Linked DNA regions of Caenorhabditis elegans. The gene in region 3 interacts genetically with the main gene of each other region. Each region holds a gene or a part of one and is shown on either strand. Other genes may lie near its edges.

Region 1 (4,790 bases), on a different chromosome or scaffold from region 3:
AGTGACTTTGGAGTTGGATGTCGAGGTGACAATTCCGGATCGTGATGAGAAGAAGAAATTGAAGTTGGAGATCGATCGCACCTTGTCTGTCTTGATCTTGTCTATCCGAAATCATTGATTGAGAATCTGCCTTCTCTACCTTGTTCTTGAAAATGTTGCTGAGAAACTTCTTGAAAATAATTTATATTATAGTCACAACAAGCATTGTCATTCATCGATGAATAGATATCTAGAAAAAGCCCAGATTTTTGTTCGAAGATCTGCAATTGTGTTGTGGAGACTTCAATGCTGCCAATTCAGTTACTTCCAACAATGAGCTGATCCCTTGGATCTTCAAACATGTATTCCTCAACTCTAACAACCACGGCGACGTACAACTTTTTGACCTCTTCCCATCTATTTCTACTAAACAAGGTGTTTTAGGATCGAGACCAGAAACTTTTATTGGAATACAGATTATGTTAAACGCGTTTTCAAAAACACAGCAGCCTATACACAAACGCAGACCTTCAAACTTTTATTCATAAAAACGAAACAAGTTCATTCCAAATAAATCTTGAATCCACGAGCCACATAATCTCCGACATCAAAGATGAGAACGACACGATCATCACTGAAAATTATTTTGAGGTTGTGAAAGAAACTTCCGAGTGCCCGAACACTCATCTGATAGCGTCCGACATTAAACGGGTTCCACAACTTAGATCGTGTAACCAGGCAGATGCGGCGCCGCAGCCTTTTTTTATAAAGACAAGAGCAAGTTCCATATAAGAAACTAATAAAATTAGCTTATAAATTGGAAACTAAAACTTACAATTTTGGAATCTCCGCAACCATCAAGCTATCATAATAATTCGATTTGATACGACGCATACCAATCTTTTCATCATCATTCACGAATCCAAAATACAGTTGTCCATTTGCCACATTGTCTCCGAGAACTTTCTTCTTCCGATGCAACATTGCCCCAAGAGCTTTGGCAAGATTCGTGTTGAGTGGGAAGCTCATTTTTACGTAGCTACTGCAAAAAGTGGGATATTAGAAAATAGTTGAAAATGATAAATATTTTAAAACTCACTGAACAATGCCGTACACCTCGACCGGCTCCACGAGCACCATCATGATTGCAACGGAATTTTCGGCGACAGGAGTCAATGAGTTCAACATTCTATGGTTGAAGGAAACTGTTCCAGAAGACAGAGAACAGTTAGTTTCAGATGAAGAATCGGATGTTCTGGAAATTCTTATTTATGTTCTCTGTCGGATGCTTCTCGCTCACTCTTTGATCGGATTTGAGCTTGCAGAAGAAGCCGGCTTCACATCTATTCCAAGATCTTTCATACCCAGTGCCTTTGCTCTTTGCTTTCGACAAATATCCTTCTCATAGTACTTCTTACTCTCCTGACGTGATGATCCCTTCCAGTAGCATTGCTGAGAACTGCATCCGTATGTTCCATCCGCGTTCTTCACAATGTCGAAACATGCGGTACAGAGGTAGTGACCACATCTCGAACCACATCATTTTTATTATTACTTGGGTCATGTTTAACGGGTTACTCACCTTCCAATCGTGCTCAGCAAGTTCGATGGGAACTCCTTCTTGCAAGGCCCATCACACTTGACAACCACTGGAGATGGGGCGCCTCCTGAAATTTTTATCATGTAATCGGAAAGCGAAGCCAGGTGAAGTAAGGTGTCGGTGGCAACGTTATGAAGGGTTCTAAGCAGCTGACTTATTCCGATTTAGGCTTCCAAAAACTAACCAAATGAAGATCTTGAAGAAATGGCAGAGCTTTTCGAAACAGTTTCCATGACATTTCTATAGTGTTCCACATCATCCATCTCCACATCCCAACTAATAGAATAGGAGTAAGTGGTTCTGAAATCCCATAAAAAGTCAATTTGAGTGCTAGAGATTCAAACGAACTGGAAAGTCGGAGCATCGTGGGCAACTCGAAGCTCTGAGGTCTTTGGAGACTCGCACAAATCACAGATGTACGAAGGGATCAGAGGATTTGTGCTGTAGTTTCTCAGAGACTTTGCAGATTTCTCTGTTTCTGGATTTGGCTGAAAATTATGGAGATTGAATAGTCTTTCCGGAAGAGGAGCTTACTGAAAGGGGCGCCCAGTTTCGCAAGCTAAGATTGTCTTCAGAGGACGACTGGAAACTATCATCAGATGTTGGGGGTGTGCTAGCCTGAAAATATCATTTTAGTGACCCGGCAGATGCCGGGCAACGGAATTCCACTCAATAACCCAAACCGGGTCGGCTAAAAACGAGAAACCCTGGAAACGTCGGGAGGCAATATACAAACATACCTCTTCAAATGGCGATGCCCAATTCCGTAGGCTAAGATGATCGAGTGAGGCGAGCATAGTCGGTTTCTGGTTTTCAGTCGATTCGAATTCAGTCATCGTTTACCGCGCTTCCTTGTCTTTATTTTGATATCGAGAACGATGAATATTTGAAAAATGTGAAATAAATCCAAAAGTCGAGTTGTTGGCAACATCTTGTTATTTTGTTCTGATTGCAAAAAGTTCATGTGAAAATAGAATGGGTCACGCAGAACATATTGAACTATAATCAAATTAACATTTGAACAAAAGAAAAACGAAAATGAAACATGTGAAACACGTGAAACAATTCCAATGTAAGAAGTTTTCAAGGAAGGAGACAAAGAATTCAATTGCGCAAGTCTCTGATAGTGAGGTTATATTTTCAGAGTTTTTCCTATCAGAATTGCGGGCGACAGAACATGTATGCTAGTTGCTGTGCGGCAACGGGTGCTGCCGGAGTTGCCGAACGGAAACACTTTTGGCAACCGACAACTATGTTGTCAAAACATGTTCATGTTTTAGAGTGTTTTTCAAGGAAATATGAAGCCATTTTTTCATTTACGGTTATATGGTTGCTACTTTCATATTAGCAGGTTACACACGAATTGCTAGTTGTCCACCTATGACAGACTAAACGTGAATCACGCAAATCACTGCAACTTTTTTCGAACGAGGGCTGAGAAAAAATGCGAAAAATCGGTGTTTGCACACAATACACCGCATTTTACGACATTTTCTACTTGCTTTGTTTTCTTGTGTTTTCACCAATTTTTTCCGTGTTTTATTATTAAAACTGATAAATACATATTTTTTGTTAATGCGAAAATAATTTCCAAGTGAAAAAATTGTGAATTCAGCCGGCAAGTAGCGGTGAAAGTGGTCAATGTAATATGATGGATTACGGGAATACAAAACCCAAACTTTTCCCCAAACATGATACATAGATGTTTAGATGCTAAAAGTACCTGATTTTCATAACGAGACAGCTGAAAAAGTTTTGAGATTTTCAAAATTCAACTTTTTTGGTAAAAAAGTCGAGATTTTGGCACAAAATGTTGAATTTTGAAAATCTAAAAACTTTTTTAGCTGTCTCGTTATGAAAATCAGGTACTTTCAGCATCTTAAAAGCATATATATCATGTTTCAGAAAAAGTTTGGGTTTTGTATAGCCGTAATCCATCATATTACATTGCCCACTTTCACTGCTACTTGCCGACTGAATTCACAATTTTTTCACTTGGAAATTGTTGCCTCGTCCCTTTTTGCCTCGTCCCTCGTTCGAAAAAAGTTGCAGTGCGCGCAAAGCTTGTAGGTAGGCAAGCAAGTATTTAGTCAGGTAGGCACCGGTAGGTAGGCATAAGACACGCACGCGGTTGCTTTCCCTTCGTGCGTATTAAGTTTGTCAGAAAATCCGGAGTCAGTTACGTCGATGTCACATTTTCTACCGAACAAAAATCAATCTCGAATGTGGTGAAGAGGAGGTAATTTATAAATCATTCGCTGATCCGTTATATTGCTTGTACAATAAAATTCTCAAGCAGTTCAGAGTAACATCTGTAAGTTGTAATACTGAAATATCGGCTATATTACAGATTTCAGGAAATTGCTTATGGCAGTAATATAGCTGCATCTCTGGCCGCAATGACAAATCAAAATGATTTATCTTGCCTGAGAAATAGAGAAACAATGGCTTGGTACAGATAAAGTGAGTATCTTGGAAAATGCAGCTTCTGAAGAATCAAACTAAATTGGCTTTGGATTGCTGGTAGACGGAGAATGGAAACTAATCAAATTGGATTCTTTTTTCCACTTGTGACTGGGACTGGAGATCCGTTGATCAATGTGAACAAGTATGAATTGTGGCCCGCATTCTTTGAGAAAGCATTCGTGAAATTAAGAGGAAGGCTCAAAGATTTAGATGCATATGGTTTTGTTATTAGAGACCCAATGAGAATGATCACAGGTTGGTAACTTTTATTATGATATTTGTTTGGTCAATTTTGCCTCAAATTACAGACCTGAAACGCGAATGCAGTCCGCGAAAGCCATGCCTAGATTTCGAAGATTTTTTATACGCAGAAATATACTTTTCAGTGCCCCGGATGGTTCAACTAACAATCAATTTGTAATCAATTTCCACATCTCATCGGTACCGAATTTGTCCACCTTGTATTGTTTGACAAATGATCCTCAAATTTTGAAATCAAAAAAAAAAAAACAATAAAAAAACATCGATCCTAACGCACTTTTTATTGGATAAAAAATCCATTGTCATCATAAATCCCCCAATTGGAATGAGATCAGATAGATTGAGATCGATAGAGGATGTGGAAGAGAAAAGAGTAAAAGAAACAGAGTGATCTGGTTTTAAAAAAAATGGATGGAGCAAAGAGATAATAATTGAAATTTCCCAGAAAATGCAGCACAAATCATCATCGTCCGTACATACCACC
Region 2 (3,434 bases), on a different chromosome or scaffold from region 3:
TTCCCAAATTTTAAAAGTTCTGAAAGTATATTAAAACAATTTTATATTTAAAATAAATGTTTTGAAAAAATTAATATTTCCTTCAACTTCTGAAAATTGTCAAATTTGTGATTTCTTTTGGAATTGTTTAAAATTTGTATTTTCACAAAATTTCAAAAATTACCCGATTTTTTAAAGACTTTGACATATATATTTTTGAAAAACCTGAAAGTTGGCCCCTTTTTCAACATTTTTTTCTCAACATATTTTTGTCGAAAACTAGAAATTCTGAAAAAAACGAAAAAATCATTTTTAGACCTGCTTTTGAATTTTTTGGAAAATGTTCTAAAAATTTTGAAAAAAATGAATATTTTCGGCAACTTCTGAAAACTCAAAAATGCTTTCTATCGCAAAAAAATTAAAAATTAAAATTTGGCCAAATTTTGAAATTTTTCTGATTTATTTGTTAATTTTTTTTTTGGAACGTAGACAGTTTATTGTCAACAATTAACAGCAAAAAATTAGTTGGTTGGTTGAGCGCGTGGCTTTGGAGTTGTTCCGCGGAATCCGTTTCTGAAGCGAGCGTTGACGTCTCTCAGATGACGGGTGCGGCCGGTTCCGGTGGTGCGTCTGCGGATGGACTTGGCTCCCCAGTTGTAGGTTCTCTTCTTGGCATCTTGATATCCGCAGGAAGCGCAACGCTTCTTCTGGATATGGAACGATGACTTTCCGCAACGCTTGCAAAGCGTGTGAGACTTAACGTGCTTCTTTCCGAAAGCTTGAGTACCCTTAGTCATCTCAAACTGGGTAATTTGTATTACTGTGAAAATTTGGAAATTCAGAAAAATATTTATATATCATTTAAGTTTTAATTTAGAAAAACCTTTTTTTTGTCAAATTTTGACCAAAAAATATATATTTTTAGTTCCTTTTTTCGCAAAATTCCAAAAATCAAAACTCAAAACATTACAAATGTTCAACTTTCCCAAACTGATCTTTTTCGAGTCTGAACTCTAAACCAATTGTGTGCTCAATTGTGCTCTGTGACCTTGTCATTGAGACCTCTAGTTTCCACCCAAAAAAAAACGCAAAATGTTTGTTCAATCGGAAAGTTGACATTTTGTCTTTCACATGAAGCTTCACTGGGAGTTACTAAAGCCAGTAGTTGACCTCCTAATTGATGTGACGCTTGAAATGGCAACAAATTGTTGACGACAAAGTGGCCCTAAAATGAGAGAAAAAGAAAAAAGGAAAAAGCTTTTAAAAAGTCTTGAAGGAGCAAGAAATGGGAGAAGCCATGTGTGAAATTACATGGTGCATCGATGAGGAAACATAATTTTGGGGAAAACAAAATATTTTTGAATTAGGAAGAGTTAGTTGATAAATTATTTTTTAAAAATTTTTATATGTAGGAAAATTAAAGTTTCTGGAAACATTTTTTTGCGTAAAAGTTCAATTTTTTGTAATCAAGTCTCGAGGTATTAAAGCTTGAAAAAAAGCCTATTAATTGCATTAAACGAGTTCAAAACGCTCTGTTTTCACAGTTTTCTACATATTATTGTCAGAAATTTCATCTATGCATATTTTTTGCAGAAAAAAAGTCGTCTGGATTCTCACGGTCAAGATTCAGGAGTAGAGATCATTAGCAACAAGCCGTATACAGATGGACCCGGTGGCAGTGGACAGTATACATTTAAGATCTATCATATTGGAAGTAGAATTCCCGGTTTGTTCACATTATTTGAATTGCAAAATAGTGGGGAAGGAAGTGTTTTTTTTCTTTTTTGATGAGAGAATATGAGATTTTTTTTGCTCTGAATTATTCACAATTTACTACTCTTTTCTTTTTAAGAGAAATTGGAATCTCACGCCGCTGCTCATATCAAATTACGGGGTGAAAATGAGAGGAAGGGGTCAGAAATTGCCGGTCTTTTGATTTTTTTTCTATTAAAAAAGAAAATATTAATTTTTTAAAATTGATTTTTTATAATTTACTGCCGATCAAAGCGCGTTCAAAATTCAATTCCATTCGAAAAAAATTATTTTTAGATAATGTTTTTAAAAATAATTGGAAAATGTTTTTGACAAATTTTCATAATCTTTATGGTAACCTAGACCAAATATTCCAAATTCCAAAAAAAAATTTAATTCCTATTATTTGTATTTCTTACTTGTATTTTCTCTTTTTTGTGTATTTGTATTTTATTTTTTTGTGCATTACATTCTCTTCACGATAATTAAATCGTATTCAAATAAATAAAATAAATAAATTCCAAAAAGAAGTATTTGTATAATAGGTTTTAGACAGTTTTGAAAAAAAATTTAAATGTGAGAAAAAAGTTTTAAAAAATTTATTGAATTGTTCTAAGTTTTATTTTTATTTTTTGAATTTACTAATAGGTAGTAAGTAAGATTTCTTAGTTTTTTTTTATTTATTAATTTTCCTATAATAATTGTTTTTCTCTGTTATAAAATATGAAACTTGGTATGCCAAATTTTCAGGAATTTTTCAGCAAAAAAAAGTATTAGAGCTCGGCGATAGTTCTGGTTTTCAAGTTTTCTATACCGAAAAATCTGTTAGAATCTTAAAATGTACTAATCTTATAACATAAAATTTTGCCGATGAATTTAACCAGAAAATTTTTTTTTAATTCATTTCCGCGGGAATTTAAAACTATTTGGTCCTTCCTATTTTTTTGCAAAATTGTAAAAAAATAGTTTTTTGTTGGATTTTTTCTGTAATTTTGTGCCAAAAAAGTTCCAAGAATTTCACAAAAACACAACTCCTAAAAAATCTTCCTCCAAAACTCAATATTTCATTTTTTCCAGCCTGGATCCGAACAGTGCTCCCAACAAACGCATTAGAAGCACATGAAGAATCATGGAATGCATATCCAGTGACAAAGACACGGTATTCAACCCCAATGATGGATAGGTTCAGTCTGGAAGTTGAGACACTCTATTTCGATGATCATGGTCAACAGGAGAATGTGTTCAATTTGAACGAAAAGGACAAATCTACTCGAATAATTGATTATATGGATTTTGTGAAAGATCCCATTTCATCACATGATTATTGTGCAGAAGAAGATCCAAAGCTCTATCGTTCCGAGACAACAAATCGAGGACCATTAAATGACGATTGGGTTGCAGAACATTTGAAGAAAGGTCTACCCATTATGTGTGCGTATAAATTATGTAAAGTCGAGTTTCGATACTGGGGTATGCAGACGAGAGCCGAGAGATGGATTCATGATTTGGCACTGAGGAATACCATGATGAGAGCACATCGACAGGCGTGGGCGTGGCAGGATGAATGGGTAAGTGAGAGAAATGGACATGGCGCATCGAAACATTTTTTTTCGGTTTTTTTTGGAGGAGAACCTGATAAGTGTTTTCCGTATTACACTCAAAGTAGCCCAAAAATTCCAAATTTCAAAATGAAATAAATTCCT
Region 3 (9,015 bases):
GAAAACTGAGCATAAGTGTGGAGAAGGAAAAGTAAAGCAGAAATCTGGTCAAAAATGACTAGATCATAGCAAGCAGCAAACAAAGAAAAGAGGACGAAAAAAGTAGTCAAAAACGAAGTTAGACAATAGTTTCCTTTGTCGGCAACGGGTTGCGAGGCGTCCTGAAAAGAAGAAGTTCGCTGAACTCTGTAGTAGTGTTTTCATGCCAGAATTGGCACTCACATGTTCTTTTTGATTATGATTTTCGAGTAGAGTGGATGTGACTGGATATAGTTAGGATGATATGATTCCTCGAATATTGCAGAATCTCTTGATCTAAAAGTAAAAGAACAACTTCAGTTTTATAATTGTTTTTATTGACACATTTTATTTCGGATTTTGGTTAATTTTTACGCTTTTCTATGATCATTTAAGAACTGTTTCAGTAACTGGTAAACAATAATTTTCCTAAAATTATGCAAAAGAGGGTGATAATTGGGCCGCTCCTACACGTACAAGTTCTAAAGATAAACATTTTGAAGTGTTTCTTCTCTTTTAGAAATTAAAACGTTAGCTTTTTAATTTTTAGGTTTAGAACTAATTGTGATGGAATTAATGTGTGAAAAATTATTCAAGTTCTAGTTGAATTCGAGATTTTGAAAGATCAACATTTTTGAACTAATAGTAAGTGTGACTGTATCATATTTATCAACTTAAATTTCAGGTTTTATTTTAATGTAAAGTTTTTAAACAATAAAAAAACTCTATTGGCTGTTTTTATCTAGCAAGTTTGTTTACTAATTATTAAAATTTGTTTCGATACTTGCCTAGTCATACAATCTGGATCATCGAAGGTAAAATGAAGATATTGAATTTTAGACGTTGTATTATAATACTGGTGAGTTTGATCTGCAAATGAAACTTTAAAGGTTACATAGCACAACATTTATAAGTGTCATGTTAGTCTGGACACTTGACGGAGGCAAATCTGTAAGCTAACTTATGTGATTTGATGTTCTGCAACCCATTACACCAAACAAAAATGTTACAGGACAAAAACACACAACACGGAAACATGATTACCACAATGGACTTTTAAATGACATCTGATAACGGCGGAGAGACTACTATGAGTAATAGTAGTGATGCTTCTCATCATCTATAAATTCATTGAAATCGTTGCCCTGAACTTAAATGTCAGTAGCGAACTGAAAACGAACCTAAACAAGAAGCTTTGTTAGAGGGACGGTCGTACGAAGGCCAAGCTGGTGAACCGAGGGCAGAGTCGAGAGATTGGTTGGCAACACCGCTGACGGCACGAGCTAATTTATCTTGTCGAACATACCCGTTTCCGATTGGTTCGTTGAGCACTTTGTGGATGTACACTAAAAACGGTCAAAATTCGGGTTTGCTCATGCTATTGTTGTTTGATGGAATACGTTGAGAGGTTTCCGGTGTAATAATGTGATTTTTCAGCATATTGTCATTGCAGTAGAGATGATTCGGATCATTGGGTGGTTCTACAGAAAAATTGGACTCATAGTCGTCGCAAATTGTGTGTTGTGGCTGCAAAAACAGTGCTTTATGGATTCCGAATTCATAGGTTAAATTCTTTTAAAATTTAAATACGTTATGTACGAAATTACGTTTTGATCTACCTCTGATGGAAGATTCACTGGAGCTGAAAGAGGGCGATGTTTTCTCTTTTTCTGGAATGACTCCATAGGAGAAACTGGACCTGATGCCGTGGATCTTTCGGAGAAAAATTGATCCTGGAAAATATCCTCAAAAATGTTGTCACAGATGTATGACCTTACATTAAATTCTTGTGATCCCTCAATAGTCTCATTTGTCATTGTTAACATCCAATCCAAATAATCTACGATTGTTTTAAAAGATGGTCGTTCTTCCAATTTTTCTCTCCAGCAGCTGCACATCAAATGGTAGACTTCTTGGGGACATAAATGTGGTGGCTCCATTCTGCAAAAACATGTCAGACAGGTGAGATTTGCATGTTTTTCTCAATATTTTCACCTGTATCCTTCTTTGAGGTTAGCATAGAGTTCAGGCATGGCAATCGTTGGATAGGGAGTTCCACCAAGTGTCATGATTTCCCAAAGGAGAACTCCATATGACCATCTACAAAAGTATCAATGAGTCATTATAGTATTAATTTTGGTACACAACCACTGTCGTGCCCTAAAATTGCCCCAAAAAATGTAAATGGAAAACTGAAATAAAAGCGTGCCAAGAAAAATGGTGAATGCATTGTTCACAGAGTGATAGTTTTGGAAGCAATAGTATTTTTTTTTTTTGATATTCAAATTTGAATAATATATTTTTTGTTAAATTAAATTGTCGTTCAATAGTTTTTTATAACTATTTTTCCACAGGCGGGAAACAACTTCAATTCAGACATATCACAAATATATTTATGTTTAATGTTTTTCCCTAAATTAAAATCCTAAAACGTTGTATCCTAAAAACCCAAAATAAGTAAAATAAATATACAGCTATCCCGATTCAGATGCTCAGGTTGACTCAGGATGATTAACTTGTGTGAAAAGACAAATAAGACATATGTGATTATATTGAAAAATCAATTTTTTTCAAACGTGAACCTGGAAAGGACCTCCACGAAACTTTTCTACCACAGAAAACCATTACTCACACATCACTTTCCACGGTGTATACATTTGAGTCCAACGCTTCTAAAGCCATCCATTTAATGGGAAGTCTGCCGTTTCCACGTTTTCTGGAAGTAATATATCATCAGTAATATATCATTAGGAATAATGTTACAACCTATAATAATCGTTACAGTGCACATCTCTCGATAGTCCAAAATCCGATATTTTCAGAACGTGTCCATCACCGACGAGAACATTTCTTGCTGCCAAATCACGATGTATGATCTTCTTTGATGCCAAGAAGTTCATTCCTTGAGCCACTTGCCAAGCAAATTGTACAAGATGGCGTTGTGTCAAATTTGGTATGAGCTCCTAAAAATGAAAATTTCAGCAAAATTACTCTGGTAAATTTAAAACTGACTAAGACAGGTTTACTGATAATGAGCAATCAGGAAAACGCTTTTCTACAAGATTTTCAAAGTTTGATGAGTATTTCAAATTTTGTCAGTGGAAAAAATCATATTTTATTCAAAACATAAGCCACTCACAATGTCATCCTTATCAGATGCTTTTCGTGGTTCCAAATAATCCGTCAATTCTTGGCTGGACTTTTTTGCCTTCTCTTCCTTAGGTCTATGTGCTCTCAAGAAATCGCGCAAATTCCCATGCTTGCACAGCTCAACAACGACATAAAGCGGACCAGCGCCTGTACAGCATCCAATCAATCGCAACACGTTCTCATGTTCTCCTATAACTTTGAATGTTTCCATTTCACTGACCAAGTCAATGAGCTCTTTTTCGTGAGCTGACATTTTCAATTTTTTGACAGCAACTGCGATTTCCTGAAACGCAATTAAAATTTCAGATTTTCTTGTTTTTTTGTTTTCCCAAAATTACATTGTTTTCTGTTTCTTTGTATGTTGCTTTCCAAACTTCTCCAAATGCTCCCTCGCCAAGCATGTGAACCAAACTCAATCTAAACGTTGAAATTTAATGTTTAAATTGAATTCTTGTCTGGCTGAATGTATTAAAGATTTGACCCACTTTGATCTTTCAACTTCCCAAACTGGATCCGAATCAACCTCGTATTCCGAAAGAACAGTGTTTTCTGAATTCATACGTTTTCTTTGTTTTCTCGCTGCTTCTTTCTTTGTAATTGGAGTCTCTATTATTTGAATTTGATAAGGTGATGGCTCATCATCCGAATTCTCATTATCTTCATTCATTGGCCTTTTGCTAACTACGACTCTTTTTTTTCTTGCCACTAATCCAACAGTATCATCCATGAATCCTTTTTTGTGTAGTGTTTGTTTGCACACCATAAACAAAATTCCAAATAATGTTGCAGCAAGCAGTAAGAAAAGCAGAATTGTTGTAAATATATAATCGGATGTTGTCCATCTATCTATCTTCGGTTCGTCACCAGTGAGCAAATGTATGGCCATAAACTCATTCACCGTTAAAGTGGCATTCGCCATCGACTGTAAAACTCTTAATTTGTTCAACTAGAAGGTTCAATCAATTTCTTACCATCCCCAGTGAGTTTCCACTGAGACAAGCATATATTCCCTGATCATCCAGCGACACATTGAAAATAGTAAGCGTCGATTCATCACCAACGTGATGGACGTGCGCTTTCTGAAACGACACTTTTTGATAGATGAGAACATGTTTCATAACATACATCAAAAGTGTCCATCTCTGTGTAATTGAACATATACTCTTCAGCTGAATTGTTGTAGTAGCTATACGACCCATTGATTTTGTTGATGCGTACCCAAATAATATGAGGCAATAAGTCAGAGACAACTTTGCAGTGGAATGTGGCAGTGTCATTAATATTTACCTAAATATAAAACATTGAAACTATAGATGCCGTGAGGCAAAATCTTACTGATTGATTAGCCAAAATATTCGGAACGATAATGGGCGGTCTTCTCATTCTGTTGACTATGATCACATGGAAATACTTTTTTGCACTTCCAACTTTGTTCAATGCTTCACAATGAAACTCCCCAGAATCTGCTACGACAGCATCTTCCACTTCTAAAGACCATCTATTGAACTTGAATTCGTATCCGCCGGACCGAGCACTACTTTTCTTCAACATTTTGCCGTTTTTGTACCAGATAATCTGTGATCAAATGCATTGATTGAAAATCCAATGTTTCTTTACGTGAAAAATTTCAAGTTTTTCATGAATCGTACCTGTGGCTCAGGGTATCCTTTTGCGCGACAATTAAGTTTCAATGTTCGTCCTGCTGGTAGAGCATGCGTTTCATTAAACAATACAATGTTGTCGTTTGACTTGAAATATGGTGGCTCTTCCGCAGTAATATTCAGCTCAGTGAGCCCCGCATCTGGAGCAACCGGTTGTGAAACACTATAGTCTTCTTCTTCGTCTTCTTTGTTTTCTTTTTCATCAGCATTGATAAATTCGGTTCCTAAAAACAAGTTTACTGAGATATATAAGAAGAAAATGAAGCATTTAAAATAATTCAACCACTGATGTAGCCTACCCAAAGCATGATTGATCTGTCTTAATCTCAGAATGTGCCTGGCTCGAACAATTTTCTGTTCATTATTCATCTTCTCCCATCCGCCCAATTGGCTTTTCACTCTCCTCATTTCCGCAGGAGGTAGCAATTTTGGCAATAAATGACTAATATCGAATACTCGATGCTCAGTGAGCCAATCGAACAGTTTAAGTGGATCTGAAATAACTTACTGGATTCGGATGGACTTTCTTCAGAGTCATGCACGGGCACAATCACATCATCTTTTTTCAAAACAACACGCTTTACTAAAGGATCGTCCTCGGGTTTCCCAGGTAAACCAAAATCCGAAACAGGAGTAGTGTCAAATTCTTTGCAGTGATCACCAAAGCAAGGAATCATTGGCAACGGTTTTCGTGCTCTATTTATCATGCGAGATGCGTACTTTGAGCAGACTTCTCCTGTTACCGCTGCATAGTTCACATCAGATCGTTTTGCTTCTTTGTTGTATTTCCATAAACAAACACATTCCATCGGAATGTTCAAATGATGAATATCGGGAAACAGGAAGTAATCACAAAAGTCTGAAAACAAAGCACACCATGCATGGAAGAAATTATGCTTGCACTGCAAAGAATCGAGCAATAGAGATACTTACCAATAACTTCAACTGTAAAATTTCGTGATATTTGTCCATATGCGTTGTGTACGCGGCAAGACCAAAGACCCTGCAAAAATATTAGTTTTTAAACGTTTTTAAACGTTTTTAAATAAACGTTTTTTTTTAAGTTGACAGAGTCAAAAACTGCTGAAAAAAGTTCTCAGTTTGTTGGTATTTTTGAATTAATATATATTTTTGATGATGCTTAAAACTCATGGTAGTCGGTTATAGTTTTTTTTCCTATTTTCTTTCATATTATTCTTGCAGAACTAAACACGCGCAAGAGATATCACACAAACTTTAGCATCTACAAGATATTTTTTATTGGTTAAATGTTTTTTTTTAATAATTCCAAACATTTTTCAAACATTAAATCATTTTAATTATCATGTTGTATTGTTTCTTTACGGTATTTTAGGTAACTCCAGTATTTTAGGTTAAAAACAAGAAAAACCAAATTTGAAACGAGACATCGAAATACAGTTTCATAGTGTATGTTAGTCTTGAATTCCTATCAGTCTTTGCACTCTAAATTGTCAATTAAAAAAATAGAAATGCATGCAATTCTAATAGGAGAAATGCGATACTTGGTGTTCTAACCACATTGTTCAACAAAAAAAAAACCACAAAAATAATAAAAAATCATATACCTGATCTGAAACATCAATATTCTTCAAGTGAAGCATCATCCTGTTATTATCTTTCCGAATTTTGTCTTTATCTATTTGATCATTTTTGAGTAACTTGTCATTACGATACCATTCGACAAAGGCAGAAATCTTTGACGCCGCGGTTTGACAGTCAAATTTTATCTAAAACTGTGTACATCTATTGCTGTTAAATATTTGTTCCACCAAACCTCATCTCCAAGAAATACTTCGTATCTTTCGTTTGCTACATGCTTGAAACGGGGAATATTTTCTGTAAAATCGAATAATATGAAAATAAATTAGATTTTGTGACAACTCTCTTACCTCTGTAATGACTGGTCAATCCTTGAAGAGAACAAGAAACTGTAGAAAGTAAGCCCACACCGAGGCAGGATGCAAGGAAATAACTCATGATGATATGTATCAGGCAAACATTCGAATTTCTGCAATCTTTTGTATCTACTATTTATCTACTAATAATCAAAATATTAAAACACTCAGAAGGAGAAGCTGTGAAACTTTTGAAATTGAATACATGTGAGAGAGGTGAATCAGACCGGTACAAAGATTTATTTGTTGGGTTCTTACTGGTACCTCTGCGCGAGCCATGGGTTATATATTACTGGCTCCATACCCCACCACCATATGTAACAAATTGGCGACACCCGCGCAACGTTTTCAAAAGTTCCGACCCTCTGGGTCATAAGGTCTAATGATCTCTGGGAACAATCAAGAAACTAAAGCAAATCATAATTAGAACCGTCTAAATTTACGCATATGTTGCTCATAGAAAAAAAAAACGAGCAGCGAGCGGAGGGCGATAATAAAAAGAGTAAAAAGTGAACGAGCGTCAAATTGAGACGACGAAAGACGTCCAGATGTTAAGATGTTGTGGATTCGTTGTCTTCGCCGACAAGGTGGAATGACACAATGCCGTTTCGATTGATATCGAAGCAAAACCTTGAATAAGAAGTCACATCTGGAGGTGTTTCTTCCGGATGCAGTGCATATGTTACGGAAACAAAAACCTTTCAACATTTCCGGACACAATGTAACTTTTTATTGCTAGTCTTGCAGTATGATATAGCGAATAAAGTGGGTCTATCTTTTCAATGATCACGGCTATGTTATAGAGTTATGTAATTTTTTTAGAGCAATTTGAGGTTTTATAAAAACTCGTTATGTATAATAAAAACAAATTTTAGCAGCTGATGTAAGCGTAATAACGCTATGGTAACTTTTCAAAACCAACGTCATACATTGCATATAAAATAGTTTAAATTAGATCAAATTTGAGATTATAAGGCTAGTTTTCAAAATAATGAGATACTTCTTTAGTGAAACATTCTATCTAAATATTCCTAAAAAAATAAAAAGAAAATGTTCATAAAAAACTTAGGTTGTGATTAATGATTAGAACATTTAGTTATAAACCAGCTTTTTGATTATTGAAGTGTAATTTAATCTGTGCGATTTCTAGGCACTTTTTTGTAGAAGTTATGTATTATAAAATTGTAATTTCAAAACTTAATAGTTGCACAACAGGGTGTGACCAACATTCCAAGAGATGCTTATCGCGGATACGAGATGGTTAGTTGCGAGTCTAATTAATTCAAATGTCACATCATTTACTCAATTTTAACAGGTAGGTGAATGGATTTCTTGTTTCAATTTTGTCATTAAACCAGTTTGTTGCCCCCAAGAATTCCATTAGAAAAGAGTGATAAGAAAAAGAGAAGGGGGCATTACAATCATGAGACGGTAACCGACAACATAGGCGTCGGTTTTTTGTTGCTGTGGGTCTTATTTTTTGGAGTATTTGGTATGTGTCTACAGGCTAATCAATATAGAAAAATGCAATCAGAAAGTGAGAGAAAATCAAGGGAATTAGAAAAAGAAGGAGAGATAAACGAGAATGGACAATGATGAGAAAAGAGATGCGTTAAAAAGAAAAGGGGTTAGTGATTGGGCATTGCGCATAAGGCAGTCAGTCGCCAAAAATGATAGAACACGGGATAATTGTAGGCGACATATTTAGATGCAAAAGCTAATTCAATTTCGGTTTTTCTTTATTTACGCGCACCTGTTTGTGTTGCATTCCTTTATAAATCTCGAACGCGAAAAGTTATTGTAAATGAGTCATTTTGACAGTGTGCAGGTGAACAACATGTGGTCAATATGAAAATAGATATCAGAATGCAATTAAATGCGAAAGGTCGAAGAAGTAAGCGGGTCTACCGAGAATTGGCTGCGTATCATATATCACGCGCAGTGGAACGGCACCACCTCATTCAATGTCACGAGGAGGACAAAACAAGTAACAAATGATTTAACGCCGTAAATCTCTTCTATTTATTAAAGCAATCTAAAATTGAATGAAAACAATGAAATGGATACAATAAAGCTTACAATTATCATTAAACGATATGTGTGGCAACTGTTAATTCAGGCAGTCAAGCCACAATTTTCCGTCGTCCCGTAATGTACCAGCCATATCAACTTGGAAGAACAGAACTCCTAAATACAGAATTGCAACACGAATGTTTAATAAACCAAATACCTTGACCAATAAGATTGAACTGCCGTGTATATCCATGATG

The links.
Region 1: changes in egl-15 (region 3) and F37A8.2 together harm fitness more than expected from each alone (negative genetic interaction), as found in Caenorhabditis elegans (one large-scale study listed by BioGRID).
Region 2: changes in egl-15 (region 3) and rpl-37.2 together harm fitness more than expected from each alone (negative genetic interaction), as found in Caenorhabditis elegans (one large-scale study listed by BioGRID).

The regions. Positions count from the first base shown.
Region 1 is NC_003281.10:3,929,011-3,933,800, forward strand, and holds F37A8.2 (RING-type domain-containing protein), read right to left. Parts: upstream 2,514-4,790; 5' UTR 2,416-2,513; coding exon 2,320-2,415; intron 2,198-2,319; coding exon 2,114-2,197; intron 2,068-2,113; coding exon 1,928-2,067; intron 1,880-1,927; coding exon 1,764-1,879; intron 1,647-1,763; coding exon 1,562-1,646; intron 1,508-1,561; coding exon 1,280-1,507; intron 1,235-1,279; coding exon 1,079-1,234; intron 1,022-1,078; coding exon 815-1,021; intron 614-814; coding exon 541-613; 3' UTR 501-540; downstream 1-500. Other genes in the region: F37A8.1 (mRNA 5'-triphosphatase), read left to right, coding at 1-118; nlp-10 (Neuropeptide-Like Protein), read right to left, coding at 4,770-4,790.
Region 2 is NC_003281.10:3,525,984-3,529,417, reverse strand, and holds rpl-37.2 (Large ribosomal subunit protein eL37), read right to left. Parts: upstream 777-3,434; coding exon 501-776; downstream 1-500. Other genes in the region: pitp-1 (DDHD domain-containing protein), read left to right, coding at 1,573-1,705, 2,809-3,299. UniProt on the Caenorhabditis elegans protein: Binds to the 23S rRNA.
Region 3 is NC_003284.9:11,014,253-11,023,267, reverse strand, and holds the start of egl-15 (receptor protein-tyrosine kinase), read right to left. Parts: upstream 6,869-9,015; 5' UTR 6,828-6,868; coding exon 6,740-6,827; intron 6,687-6,739; coding exon 6,625-6,686; intron 6,578-6,624; coding exon 6,416-6,577; intron 5,833-6,415; coding exon 5,763-5,832; intron 5,689-5,762; coding exon 5,338-5,688; intron 5,324-5,337; coding exon of another isoform or gene 5,129-5,323; intron 5,054-5,128; coding exon 4,818-5,053; intron 4,744-4,817; coding exon 4,504-4,743; intron 4,456-4,503; coding exon 4,294-4,455; intron 4,248-4,293; coding exon 4,140-4,247; intron 4,091-4,139; coding exon 3,654-4,090; intron 3,586-3,653; coding exon 3,507-3,585; intron 3,452-3,506; coding exon 3,158-3,451; intron 2,982-3,157; coding exon 2,785-2,981; intron 2,735-2,784; coding exon 2,651-2,734; intron 2,119-2,650; coding exon 2,014-2,118; intron 1,960-2,013; coding exon 1,797-1,959; intron 1,752-1,796; coding exon 1,638-1,751; intron 1,546-1,637; coding exon 1,419-1,545; coding exon of another isoform or gene 1,375-1,418; and 12 more. Other genes in the region: F58A3.3 (RHDF1), read right to left, coding at 8,856-8,932, 8,976-9,015. UniProt on the Caenorhabditis elegans protein: Receptor tyrosine kinase required for larval development. May phosphorylate adapter protein soc-1 which in turn may result in the recruitment and/or activation of phosphatase ptp-2.